Linked DNA regions of Caenorhabditis elegans. The protein of the gene in region 2 binds, or shares a complex with, the protein of the main gene of each other region. Each region holds a gene or a part of one and is shown on either strand. Other genes may lie near its edges. A codon is read from its position in the direction of its gene.

The links.
Region 1: the proteins of pop-1 (region 2) and sys-1 are in contact, whole or in part, in a crystal structure (PDB 3C2G), measured with the Caenorhabditis elegans proteins. Residues at the interface, in NP_491053.4 of Caenorhabditis elegans: Gly8 (codon at 2,136), Asp9 (codon at 2,139), Glu10 (codon at 2,142), Val11 (codon at 2,145), Lys12 (codon at 2,148), Val13 (codon at 2,151), Phe14 (codon at 2,154), Arg15 (codon at 2,157); in NP_492639.1 of Caenorhabditis elegans: Leu450 (codon at 2,586), His451 (codon at 2,583), Ser453 (codon at 2,577), Ile456 (codon at 2,568), Leu488 (codon at 2,472), Gln489 (codon at 2,469), Ser491 (codon at 2,463), Asp492 (codon at 2,460), Tyr522 (codon at 2,139), Gly526 (codon at 2,127), Ser529 (codon at 2,118), Asn530 (codon at 2,115), Val532 (codon at 2,109), Ala533 (codon at 2,106), His534 (codon at 2,103), Lys539 (codon at 2,088), Asn579 (codon at 1,968), Arg582 (codon at 1,959), Asn586 (codon at 1,947), Glu638 (codon at 1,740), Arg645 (codon at 1,719).

Annotation. Positions count from the first base shown.
Region 1 is NC_003279.8:9,979,331-9,986,453, forward strand, and holds sys-1 (Beta-catenin homolog sys-1), read right to left. Parts: upstream 5,465-7,123; 5' UTR 5,457-5,464; coding exon 5,382-5,456; intron 5,095-5,381; coding exon 4,910-5,094; intron 3,879-4,909; coding exon 3,566-3,878; intron 3,528-3,565; coding exon of another isoform or gene 3,517-3,527; coding exon 3,409-3,516; intron 3,354-3,408; coding exon 3,276-3,353; intron 3,231-3,275; coding exon 2,695-3,230; intron 2,639-2,694; coding exon 2,413-2,638; intron 2,182-2,412; coding exon 1,855-2,181; intron 1,804-1,854; coding exon 1,299-1,803; intron 1,247-1,298; coding exon 1,164-1,246; 3' UTR 733-1,163; downstream 1-732. Other genes in the region: eif-3.C (Eukaryotic translation initiation factor 3 subunit C), read right to left, coding at 1-181, 230-330. UniProt on the Caenorhabditis elegans protein: Transcription coregulator. Part of the Wnt signaling asymmetry pathway, probably acting downstream of putative frizzled ligand mom-2, Wnt/frizzled receptors lin-17 and mom-5, and dishevelled homolog dsh-2.
Region 2 is NC_003279.8:2,827,265-2,832,407, reverse strand, and holds the start of pop-1 (Protein pop-1), read left to right. Parts: upstream 1-2,096; 5' UTR 2,097-2,114; coding exon 2,115-2,289; intron 2,290-3,809; coding exon 3,810-3,928; intron 3,929-5,143. UniProt on the Caenorhabditis elegans protein: Transcription factor. Part of the Wnt signaling asymmetry pathway. Binds to the consensus sequence, 5'-(C/T)TTTG(A/T)(A/T)(G/C)-3'.

The DNA.
Region 1 (7,123 bases), 7.2 Mb from region 2:
CTTATCATAAGCTTTGGCCAGAGAATCAAAACCTGTTAGAAGTCTGTTCAGATCTTTGTTGCTCTTTGCATCTCGATTTTGCTTGATAATTCCTTTCAGCTCATCGAATTTTTTGTCCTTTTGGGCACGAACAACACGCTTCTCATCTTCTTCAGGACCGGCCATGAAATCGAGATCATCGCTGAAAGATTAATCAATCTTTTGGAATTACTTTGGAGATTATAATTACCGAAATTTCGCGCTTTTGTTCACTTTTTGATCCTCTACCTCATCCTCGCTGGACGAAGTGTCGGAATCAGAGTCCTCCTTAGCATGGAAGAAGCGAGACATTGCTGAAACAAAATTGACATTATGAAATCCCAAAACAAGAAGCAAACAAGCAGTAGATACACAATTAGACAGAAATTCCAATATTATTTAAAATTTAAAATGAATAAAACGATTTTCCCTTTGAAAACAATTCAAAAAACAGCTAATGGGTCAATATTTAGCTGAAATAAATTTAAGTGGAAGTGGAACATAAGAAAATCGTTGCAAGACCTTACTGGCGCGTTTCGCGTGCACGGGAGATGCGTCAGCACTCGCCACTTGCGCCAGTGGGCATTTGCGCGGAGATTTAAATAATAATTTATTATTTAATCACAATTCCACAATTTCAGGTTAATTTTACAGAACGAGAATAGTCTCTAAATAACTTATATATGAACCGAGTATTCAGTAAATCAATCCAACATTTAAAAAGTTTTATAATTTTATTTTCTATTCAACGTAAGAACATCGAAGAAAGACGTATATAAGACAGGAATTTGATAGTTAAAATGCAAAGATAATCGCGAAAATGTTTTGTATTCAAAAATATTATGCTACAGACGTAAACAAAGAAACAACAAAAAGAAAGAGATAAACCGAGGGCAAAATGAGAAGAAATGTGCTATAAATTAGGAAAATCGGAACGTTTTGTTTGTTCTAAACTCGAATTCATATGAAATCGTCAAGAATGAGGAAATTTGGGACCGGTAGAAAATGAAGAAAAGAAGAGAGAACATATTTTAATCAATAATACGACTATGTACACGCTAAAACAGCTTCCAACTAGACGAATTAATGGCTTTGAACGGGGATTTTTGGGATGAAAGATGGAGTTGACAGATTTATCCATTAAATCAGAAATATTCTCGATTTGAAAAAATACCAGCAAGAAGGTCGTTTTCAGGGAAGCGACTCAGCAGAGAATTCGCGGCTTTAGCTGAAAAAATGCATTGTAATTTAATTTATGAACACATTTTCGAGACACATACCTATATCTGAATTTCTATGATTCGTCAGTCCTTCCAACATCGGCCTGTCAATCGTCCAAATATCCGCACGCGTCGGGCAGTGCTCCAAAATCTTGTCACATACAACAAGCACATTGTGAATAAACGTTGGTTTCACTTGATTTCCGTTCAGCAGATTTAATGGGCAATCAATTGAATACGAGTACTGTGCCACCTCTTTTTCAGCTCCACATTGCTCCATGAGCACAAGCAATAAACTTATGGTACGTTCAACAAGTTGCTGCTTTGTGGATTGAGTTCTTGTATTGTTCGGTTGACGAAAAACCCATGAATAGGCGGCACAAATGTGTCCTATTAAATTTTCCTTCCGATTTTCATCAATAACATTCAGAACACCGTCTTTTGGAACAAATGGTGTTCGGAGTAACAGTATAAAAGATCGGAGAATTGTACTTCGAAGTTCCAATAAACCAGGTGTATCCATTCCTTCACATGATAAACAACTCATCAGTTTTTTCAGAATATCCTGAAATAATTTAATTCATTTTTATATCGTTTTTCAAATTCCAAAACGTACAATTTCGATGAATTTGCAGACCTGCTGCTTTTCATTCGGTCCAGCCGTTTTCGTTTCTCCATTGGGCGTTGGAATCCACATCATCAGGAAATTGTTCAATGTACGCAGACAATTGCAAATAATTTCACAAACTCGATTTCTTTTCGGAGCATCGGTAAGTTCATCTAGTCGTGGATACTTTGAGATTATCGTGTGAAGTAGGAAAATTGCATTGGATCGTATAGCAATATCTTTTACGTGTTGTTTATGAGCCACTACGTTACTCAGAAATCCTGTTCCACTATAGATAACTTCATCATCCGGATGAATTTCGATGAGTCTCAGTAACTGAAAATTTCCGGTTTTAAACAGTTTATTTGAAGGGAGAGAAGTTTTTTTTTAATTTGAATAGACTAAAACTAGCCTGAAACGACCGAATTTAATAATGAAACTTCTTACAAAAGTGAAGTATCACTATGGAATTAGATAGGTTTGGGGCATCTAGTATAATTTTTTAAAGTAAAAGAACACATAAATAATTTTCTAATAGTCCAGTGATTTTCTAAACGTAAAACTTACGAATGGTAATATATTCTCCAATGGAGTCTTCGCCAAGGCTTTTGCATCAGAGACCTGAAGTAAGAGCTTACATCCAGCTCTTATCAAATCATTGTTTGGATACTGTACTACAGTAGTAATTGCTCCAACTCCATCAGACCGTACGAATCCATCAATTGCATCGGAATCATGAAGGAGAAGACCCAGAAGATCAAATGTTCGGATTATAACTTGGATAAGATGAGCTCTGGAAAATTAATATAACTTGTTAGTGATGGAGGAATTTTTCATTTTTAAACTTACAATTCTGGATTTTGAGGTAATGTTTCAGGATTTTGGCCTGCAATCAATCGATACGATCCGATCATTACAGCATTCAATTTTATAATTAATCCTGTTGGCGGAGGAGGTTGATCATGTGGATTATTGTTCCATATGAAGTAATCTTTCAATCGAGTATCCTTGCTAATAATAAATCGAAAAATGATGAAAATTGCTGGATTTATCATTCCCGGGTGTACTTGAGGATTAAAGTACTCGGAGAGAGTGCCAACGAGTTTTTCGAATTTCAAATGTTGAGCGAATTCTGTTCTCAATTTCTCGTTTTTCACTCCCATTATGATACAGTTGAAAATTTGAAACACCTGATTTGCGCAGTGTTTCATGTGAGGATCTTTTTGCCAATTTAACGAAATCAAATTGCAAATCAATTCTCGAAAATCTTGTGGACCATTCTCTCGAGGACAAAACATTTGAACAACTTGATGAATATATGGTGAAATAATGGGTAGAAATGTGAATCTTCGAAGAATATCCAACAGATTATACCAGAGTTGAGCCTGAAAAAATATGATTTGAAATCTGTAATTTGTGTTGAGACTTACATAATATGAAATTGGAAGTTGAACTGGTTGAGGTTTCAGACCATCGTAAATTATGTTAAGGATTTGTTGTACGCAGTTCTGAAAAAAATTACAGATTTTGTAAAAAGAATTCCAACATTTTTGGAAAACTCACCGGCATATTTGCCTGATCAACTTGTGCAAATTTATCTTGTCGTATCCAAGTTCGTATTGTTTTTGCCATATGAAGTCTTTGCATGGGATCTGGTGTATTAAACCATAGCTGAAATTGAACTTTATCAAGATTCATTATTGATTTTTCAATTACAAACCCTAATTGCTTGTTCAGCCGCTTGTGTTATATTCATTTGCATCATTTCAGGATTCACATTTTCACATGTTGAACCATTTGATGAGTAGCATCGCTGAGAATCGGGAAATTGATTTGTCATGGTTGTATTCACACTGAGCATTGACATTCGATCGTCTCCTTGATGATATGACATAACTGATGGAGCAACTGGTGGAGCAGGAGATTGAGAATATGGCCATGCTTGATTGTTGATCCATTGTTCTGTCCGAAATTTTTGATTCTGTGCGGGAGCCGCTGGACCTCGTGAAGGTGACGGTGACGAGTATAGTTGCCTGAAATAAAACATAGAAAGTTTTTAGGTATATCATATTTTATTAAATTAATTATAAAACCAATCTGCAAAATGTTGTTATTTTTTGTTGCAAAAAGGCGTGCGCCTTTAAGGAGTACAGTAATTTTAAACGTTCGTTGACGCAGATTTACCATCGATTTTTCATGGTTTTTTCACGAATGTATATGTTTTTATTGTTTTATTTTAGGTTTTTAGTGAATAATTATATATTTTATTAAAAAAGTGTGAAAAATCTATGAAATTCCGCAGCGAAGGAAGTTCGAAAATACAGTAATCCTCAAAGGTGCAAATTTAAAGAAACAGATGAGAACCTACACTCAAAATAATAAAACTGCGTGGCGTGTACTGCAGAAAACCTAATATTTAGGCCCCGCCTTTTAATCGTCCACTCACGGGGAAAACGCAAAAAGCGGTACCCCAGGCAATATCAGCCGCCGACATCATTCGAGGTCCGCGCACCACACTATTTTTCTCACTGTTGGCGTGGCGAGCTGTCCCCCCCTCCCCTATTTTTGTCTTTTCCCCGTGAGTGGACGATTAAAAGGCGGGGCCTAAATATTAGGTTTTCTGCAGTACACGCCACGCAGTTTTATTATTTTGAGTGTAAGAAGTTTTGAAAGAAATCCTTCAATTACGAAGATTTGGAAACTACAGTACTCCTTAGAGGCGCGCACCTTTTTTTTTAATTGATCGCTTCAAGACCTACTATCGTGATATTTAGGCAAAAAATCTACTTTTTACCAGATAACATTTAAAATTAATCTAAAAATCGAATGTCAATAGCACTCGGAAAAGAAATTTGGCATTGAAATCGAAAAAAAAAACAGTCATTTTTCTTGTACAACCACCACCCATCAAGAAAACGCTCGTTAGCCTCGTTTTTACTCTCCCACTTCCGTCGTCTCCCAACTTTCTAATATCGCCTGTCACACCACGGACGGACGGGGGGCGCAGCCACCAATCAATATGAGGTGTGTCTCTTTAGATAATAATCTTTCTTATAGTACTCACCTCTGCTGTTGTTGTTGAACCTGCTGCTGTTGTTGCGTCGACAATGCTTGAGGAGTCATCTGTTGCTGTTGGGAAGGAGGAGGTTGCATTGAGATATAGTTAGGATGTTGTTGAGGATGATATGGAGGTGTTGGAAGGCCAGGATGGGGAGCTTGATGCCATGAAGGATGAGATGTTGTTGGAATCTGAAAATAAGAATTAAGTCTTCATTTCCGAAAAACTACAAAGAAAACTGAAAAAAAAATCGCAGAAAGGATGAAAAATTCAACTTTTAAAAGCGCGATTTTCAATTTTGGCAGAATTCTCTGTTTGAATTTCCCCCAAAATGGCAAAAGATGAAAATTGCAATTTTAGAAGCTTGTCTTTTCATTCTTTTTCGCTTTTTTTCGTTGTTTTTTTGTGATTTTTCTGAATTTAAGACAATTTTGGATATTTTGAAGCAAAACGCTTCTTTGAAGTTTTTCAAGCTTACCTGATCAACATGATATGGCATCGGATGATGATATGGGCCGGCGGGCCCTCGTTGAGGCTCTCCGGTTGAATGCATTCAGGTCCGGTGCACTCAGTTTTCCAGATGACAGTCTGCCTGAAAAATCGATAATTCAAAATGTGATTTTTATATTTTAAAGGTGATATGATGATTGCGGATTATGAAAAATAGGAAAATAAGAATAAAAAACTAAAAGTAGGCGGGAAAACGGAAGAGAAAACATCAAAAAATGGGCCGTTTTCCTGCAGAATCGTCTCAACATTTGAATTCTTTCGTTACCCACCATTTTCCAACCGTCGCACGGCCTGCACTCTCCTCTTTTTGAGCACTATACACGTGCTCTCTCACTGTCTAACCAGAGAGGGTGTACGCATGCGGATGAATGTAGAAGAGAGAGAGAACGAAGGCAACCGTAGACAGACTGTATGGGACACTTGTCGAGGGTCAGACAAATAAATAGTAGGAAGAATAACGAGACGCAGATTGGTAAGTGATGTTGTGTGTGATTGAATGAGACGCAGAGAATGGTGATGTACGGGGTGAAAAATGGGTGAAGGAGATGAGCTGGTGGTGGCCTACTATCCTACCAACCTAAATAACAACCTACTTTCTATTTTATTATGTAATACATCATGCCTGGAAAGATGTTTAAAGAAATATTCAAAAACGAATTCAAATTCTCGATTGGAATAATTTGATTTAATAGGCATAATGAATAAGGAACATATCAATCAACGAATATGCAATTTTTTTGTTCGAAATAATGAAAAAATTGAAAAATTCCCTGGAAACCCATACAACTTGATGTTTTATTGGTGATCGTTAATGCTTAAGACATGTTTCATTTTCAAAATGAGATTTCTAAAATTTTTGTTGAAATACGAAAACTTCTGTTAGCTAAATATGGAAATGTGCAAGAAGAAACACGGAAAAAAAGAAACTGCGAACACGAAATTACCGTAAACTTAAAGGTGCATACACAAAATGGGTTTCGCGTGGCGAGACCCTTGCGCATTAACGCGCCTCCTCTCTTTAAACTAGTAGATTTTTGCAAGAAACAAACTACTGTATTTAATTTAGAACAAAAAACATGGAATAAAAGGGCACAGTTTCTTAATTAGAGACTAATTGTTTCGCAGCATGACACGTGGATTGCACCTTATCCTCCCACGGTTGTCACCAACTGAAGTCTTCTAGAAGATGGTATCTCCGTGATTGAATAGGTTTAAGTGTAATTATTCAGTAGTTGAGATGGTAATTGGGTGTAAGTTGAATTGTCAACAGAGTTGTATAATAATAATAATAATGTGTAAACAAGATTTCAATCATCAATTCGAAAGAAAACTGAATGTTTTCAACGAAATGGACACCGAATGTCATTGGACAGCTGGCAACGTCGTTCTACGAGTTTTATTAGTTGGCTCTACTAAATATCACTACGATTCAAAAATTTCGAAAAACAGGTGCAAAAATAGATGCAACTGATGACATTGCGAATTTTCGGTATCTCGCCTAAAATTAATTACTATGAGTTAAAAAATAATATAATTTCTCTGAGAAAACCGTACAAAAAAACAAGCAATACACATGAAACCTATACAAATATACTTTGTCAAACAATGTGACATAAGGGACCATAAGGTAGTACTAGAATTACAAGTGGGTTATCAAATAGTGCACCTGGATTGTGGAGAAGTAGGAGGAGGGACTTAGTTTATAGGATT
Region 2 (5,143 bases):
CAGTGTTCCCGAAATACAGCCAAATTTATTTTTTTCAAGCTTTTTCGTTGCATTTTCTCCAATTTTAGTCTCCGTTTTCCCAACATCCTCGTTTTTACACTTGTCCAGGTAATTTTCTCTAATTTCTGGGAAAATTCCGCAGAAAAAACGGAAATCTAGAAAAATTCGAGATTTCCCAGCAGTTTATTTTGATTTTCTTCAATTTTTCACTCAATTTCACAAAGAACTATTCGAAATCGAAAAAAAAATCGATTTTATTCAGAAATTTATTAAAAAATTTTAAAAAAATACCGTACCCTTCAAGCAACGTGTACTCCTCTCGGAAAATTCGAATTAATTATTAATTTTTATTGATTTTCAACCAATTTCGCTACCAAAAAGGGTGTGTTCCCTCTAATTTAGGATAGTCTTTGCCATTTGTCTCCTTCCGTTTTCTCTTTTATCTGACTGGGGTCACATTCACAGTGAAAGGAGAATTAGAAAAAAGAAAAAAAGATGAAAACACGCTGTGTCTCTATCTCTCCGCCAATTCTCACGGTTTTCCCGGTGAGTTACAACGAAGAAAATGAACACTTCGATAAAAAATATATATTGACGCCCCGGGTTACCGATTACCGATGCCCACAAAAATCACTTCTTATCAATTTTTAAATGGTTTTTTTCAGGACAATCTGATTTTTATTTTTTCTCACTCAACCTCCACTCTCTTCAAGTTCCATGCTCTCTTTTAACCTCTTCTACAGCTATTATTGTCGGCCACCTGCGCACACACACAGGGCCTTCTCACACACCATTTAGCATGGGCGGCCCCTTGATGAGCGATGAAAGCGAGAGACGCAGAGAAATTGGTGTAGCGGGGGGCCATGGTGCACTACCGACAGCGCGCGCATACACCACCACCAACCGCCTCTTGTCTTCTTCCCCCCTTCTTCTCACGTCCCCCGGTCCGTCATTTATTTGAATTTTATGGATCCTTTTCGCCTCGTTTTCCTCGTTCCACTATCCTCCCTCCTACCTCCTGCTGGGTTCTACGTTTATTTGCATTTTATAATTGGAGGAACTTCTTCATTCGAACATTTTTCGCTTTTTTTTCCCGTCATTCTTTTTGAATTTTGTAGAGCGAGTAGCGGCCTAGTTTTCGGCTAGGCCATCTGTTGCCAATGACAGATGTGTTTTGTTCACCGTATCGATTCCTGCTCTTTAATTTAAAATTCCCGCGTTTCGGATTTATAAGCAAAAAAGTAATTTTCTACGTCAAAAATAGGTAATTTTAAGGTATTTAAAGTCTGATCGTGGTGTCACCCATGCCAAAAAACATGGCATGCGCCTTTAAAGACTACGGTATATTTACAAAAATGTCGAAAAATGCGAATTTTAAACAAATTTAAAGATTTTTGATGATTTTCTCCTTTTTGTTCGGAATTCCCTTGTTTAAAATTTATGATTTTATTTTTAAAAACTCAAATTACAAATTAATAAGCCGAAAAATATTGTTATTCGCGGTGGTACCCACATTGAAATACATGGCACGCGCCTTTAAAGGTTACGGTAGACAAAAATACTTGAAAATTTAATTTTGAACAAATTTCGAAGTTTTCGATCAATTTCTAGATATTTCACATCGAAATTTCCTCGTTTCAAATTATTTTTTCAACGAAACAGCTCAAATTCGACATTTTTAAGCAAAGAAAAGTAATTTTGTTCGAAATTCGTGTCGAGACCCACACCAAAATAAGCGGCATGCGCCTTTAAAAGTTACGGTGGACAAAAGTATTTTTTAAATTAAAATTAAAACAAATTTCACCGTTTTTGCTGATTTTTCTTGAGTTTTTCATCTAAAATTTCGATTTTGTCGTCAAAATTTATCTCTAATTCAATAAAAATTCAACATTTTCCAATTTTAGAAGTCTAAACCTCCACTTTCTCCCCAAAATCCTATCGAATTCAAATTTCCCGCGTCTTTCCCCTCTCCATGGCCTAACTTCCGCGGACCTAGTCCCCCTTTTTTCTTGTTTTAAATGGTTCCGTGCTTCTTTTCCCTCCATTTTTCCGTCAATTTCCCATTAAAATCGTTAAAAAATGCTCTAAATTTCCAGATATAAAAATACACAAAAATGATGGCCGACGAAGAGCTCGGCGATGAGGTGAAGGTGTTCCGTCGGGATGAGGATGCTGACGATGATCCAATGATTAGTGGTGAAACGTCAGAACAACAGTTAGCCGATGATAAAAAAGAAGCTGTAATGGAAGCAGAATTAGACGGTGCCGGTCGAAATCCATCGATTGATGGTGAGTTTTCCAATAAATTTGATCGAAAGGGGAAGGTGGCCAGCTATCACACAAAATTTTATGGACCACCTCAATTGCCTTTCGACTTTATTACACAAAAAAAATATTTGAAAATTCTTCTAAATTTCTAAATTTCTGCAGGAAAAAGGGACATTAAATATTAAAAAAATACATATAAATTTAAATTTAAATAATTTAAATAAAAACTTTAAATGCTAAGACTGATCCCAAAAAAAGAGAAAAAAATCATTAAATTTGAAAAAAAAACCTTATTTAAATTCCCGCATTTTTTGTCTAAACTCCGCCCATAGAACCGTGCCGCACTTTGTTTTTTTTTCAAATTCAGCGTAAATCCATATTTTGGGGGTTTTTTTTCAGTTTTTAAATGGAGAAAAAGGTTTTAAAAATCGCCGAAAAATTCATTAAAAGCTAGAAAAACAACCCAAAAATTGGACTTTACGTTGAAATTAAAAAGTGCAAAAGTGCGGCACGGTTTTATGGGCGGAGTTCAAAATCGAGACAAAAGCGCGGGAATTTAAATTAATTAAAAATCGCTAAAATATTTTTTTTTGACAAATTTGAGTATTTTCAGTGTTATTTTGAATTTCAACCAATTTTAAAGCGATTTTTCGCCATTTTTTATATTTTAAAGTATTTCTAACACTTTATAAATGAAATTTACTCATTTTTAACCAATTTTTTTTCCGGTTTTCACTATTTTCTATTAAAAAAATCCATGCTAATTTCAAAACACCCCTAAGAATTGACCTGATGGTCCCGGGCCTTACGCAATGACATAATGACGTAAAAGGATGTTACGCAACGGTGTTCGAACACCATCTGCGTCTCTCCGAATCCCATACTATCTCGGTCCGTTATCTTGTGTGCTAATCCGTCGTGAGTACTTGAACAAGTTGGTCCGTCTGTGTGTGCTCAATAGACTGTATAGGGGTGCGAAAGGATTAAGAATTGGATAATATTCAAAATTGATCTGAGAAATTTGAACTTGGCGCCAAAAATTGACCTTTTTTGAGATCTGTGAATGGAAAAATCTAAAAAATTATGTATTTCAGGCCTTTAGAGGTGCTAGAAATTCCTTTTAAAATTTTACGAAAAATCGCTTTAAAATCGAATTTTCAATTGAAAAATCTAAAAAATGAGAGGTTTTGAACTCGGATATCACTATAAAAGTTGAATTTTAAAATATTTTTAACTGAAAATTGTGAAAATTTGCGAAAAATCGCTTTCAAAAATCGAAATTTTGAAGGAAAAATGAGATAATTAACCCTATAAAATTGAGTTTTGAAGAATTTTAACTAAAAATTGTGAAAATTACCGAAAAATCTCTTTAAAATCGGAGTTTTCATGAAAAAATCTGGAAAAATGAAATCTTTAACCCTATAAAATTGGATTTTAAAGAATTTTGACTAAAAATTGTGAAATTTGCCAAAAAATCGGTTGAAAATCAAAAATTTGGCTCTTTTTTAACCATTCTAACCGAATAATTATCAAATTTTCAGTGTTAAAAAGTGCATTTCCAAAAGTCGAACCAATGTCACCATCGTTTCCCGGTTTAATGTCACACTTCAGTCCTGGATACTCGGCAGCTGCTTTACCCATGTTTATGCCTCTATTTATGGTGATTTTTTACTTGGAAAATTGAAAAAATTTGAATTAAAACACATAAAAATTGGCGAAAATCGACAAAAATCGACTTAAAATTGTATTTTAGAGTTAACAAGTTAAATACTTCTGAACGAAAAATTACCGAAATTGGCAAAAAATCGGCTTTAATTGGAAGTTTTCACTGAAAAATCTGAAAACAAAGGTGAATATTAGGCCTCGAATATGTTATAAATACCTTATAAAGTTGAAATTTCAAGATTTCCCCCAAAAATCGACGAAAAATCGCTTTAAAATCCTTTTTATGACAATTCCCCCTATTTTATTAGAAAAATTATGTAGTCTAGGCATTAGAAATACTTTTAAAAGTTGCAATTTCAATATTTTGCCCAGAAATTGCCTAAGAAATGGGAAAAATTATGTATTTTGAATTTTTAAAGGGTTCGAGAGCCTCTATATTTTTGGAATTTAAGAATTTACACCAAAAATTATTTAAAAAAAGCGAAAAAACACCCTAAAATCGAAAGCTTTATTGAAAAATATGGAAAATTGTGTATTTTTGAGCTTATTCTTCAATTTGAATCAAAAATCGTCGAAATTTGCAAAAAATTGCTTTAAAATCCTATTAAAAATCATTTTTCCAACAATTTCTTCCCCAAAAAAGCAGAAATTCCAAAAAAAAAAAATTCAAATTTTTACCCAATTTCAAGAATTTTTAGGGCTTTTCTCCATTTTTGTAGAAAAAAAACCGTATTAATTTTTTATTCTTCCTACAATTTTCTTCCCCAAAAAGCAGAAATAATACAAAATTTCCACTAAAAAACTGAATTTATTGTCTTCCAAATCCAAAAATTCTTGGCTTTCCGCCATGGGGTTCTGGCCTTCCTCATTGAATTTTTCGCGCTCCATTGACAATCGCCCGCCGGACTGGGATAGTCGTGTACTCCACACGGACAAGTGCATTTAGTTTTACAACTAAAATCGAGCCGCGACGCGACACGCAACGCGCCGTAAATCTACTGAGCCAAAATGACCTAGTTCGGCAAAAACTCTTCCATTTCATTTTATGAGGGAAGCCAAAAATTCGTGAGAAATTCTACAAAATTTTCACCGAAAAACTGAATCTATTATCTTCTGAATCCAAAAACTCGTTGCATTTCCTCGAAAACAGTTTTTTCTTCTTTTTTGTTGGAGAAGCCTCATTAACTCCCAAAAAATTGCGTGTTTTTTG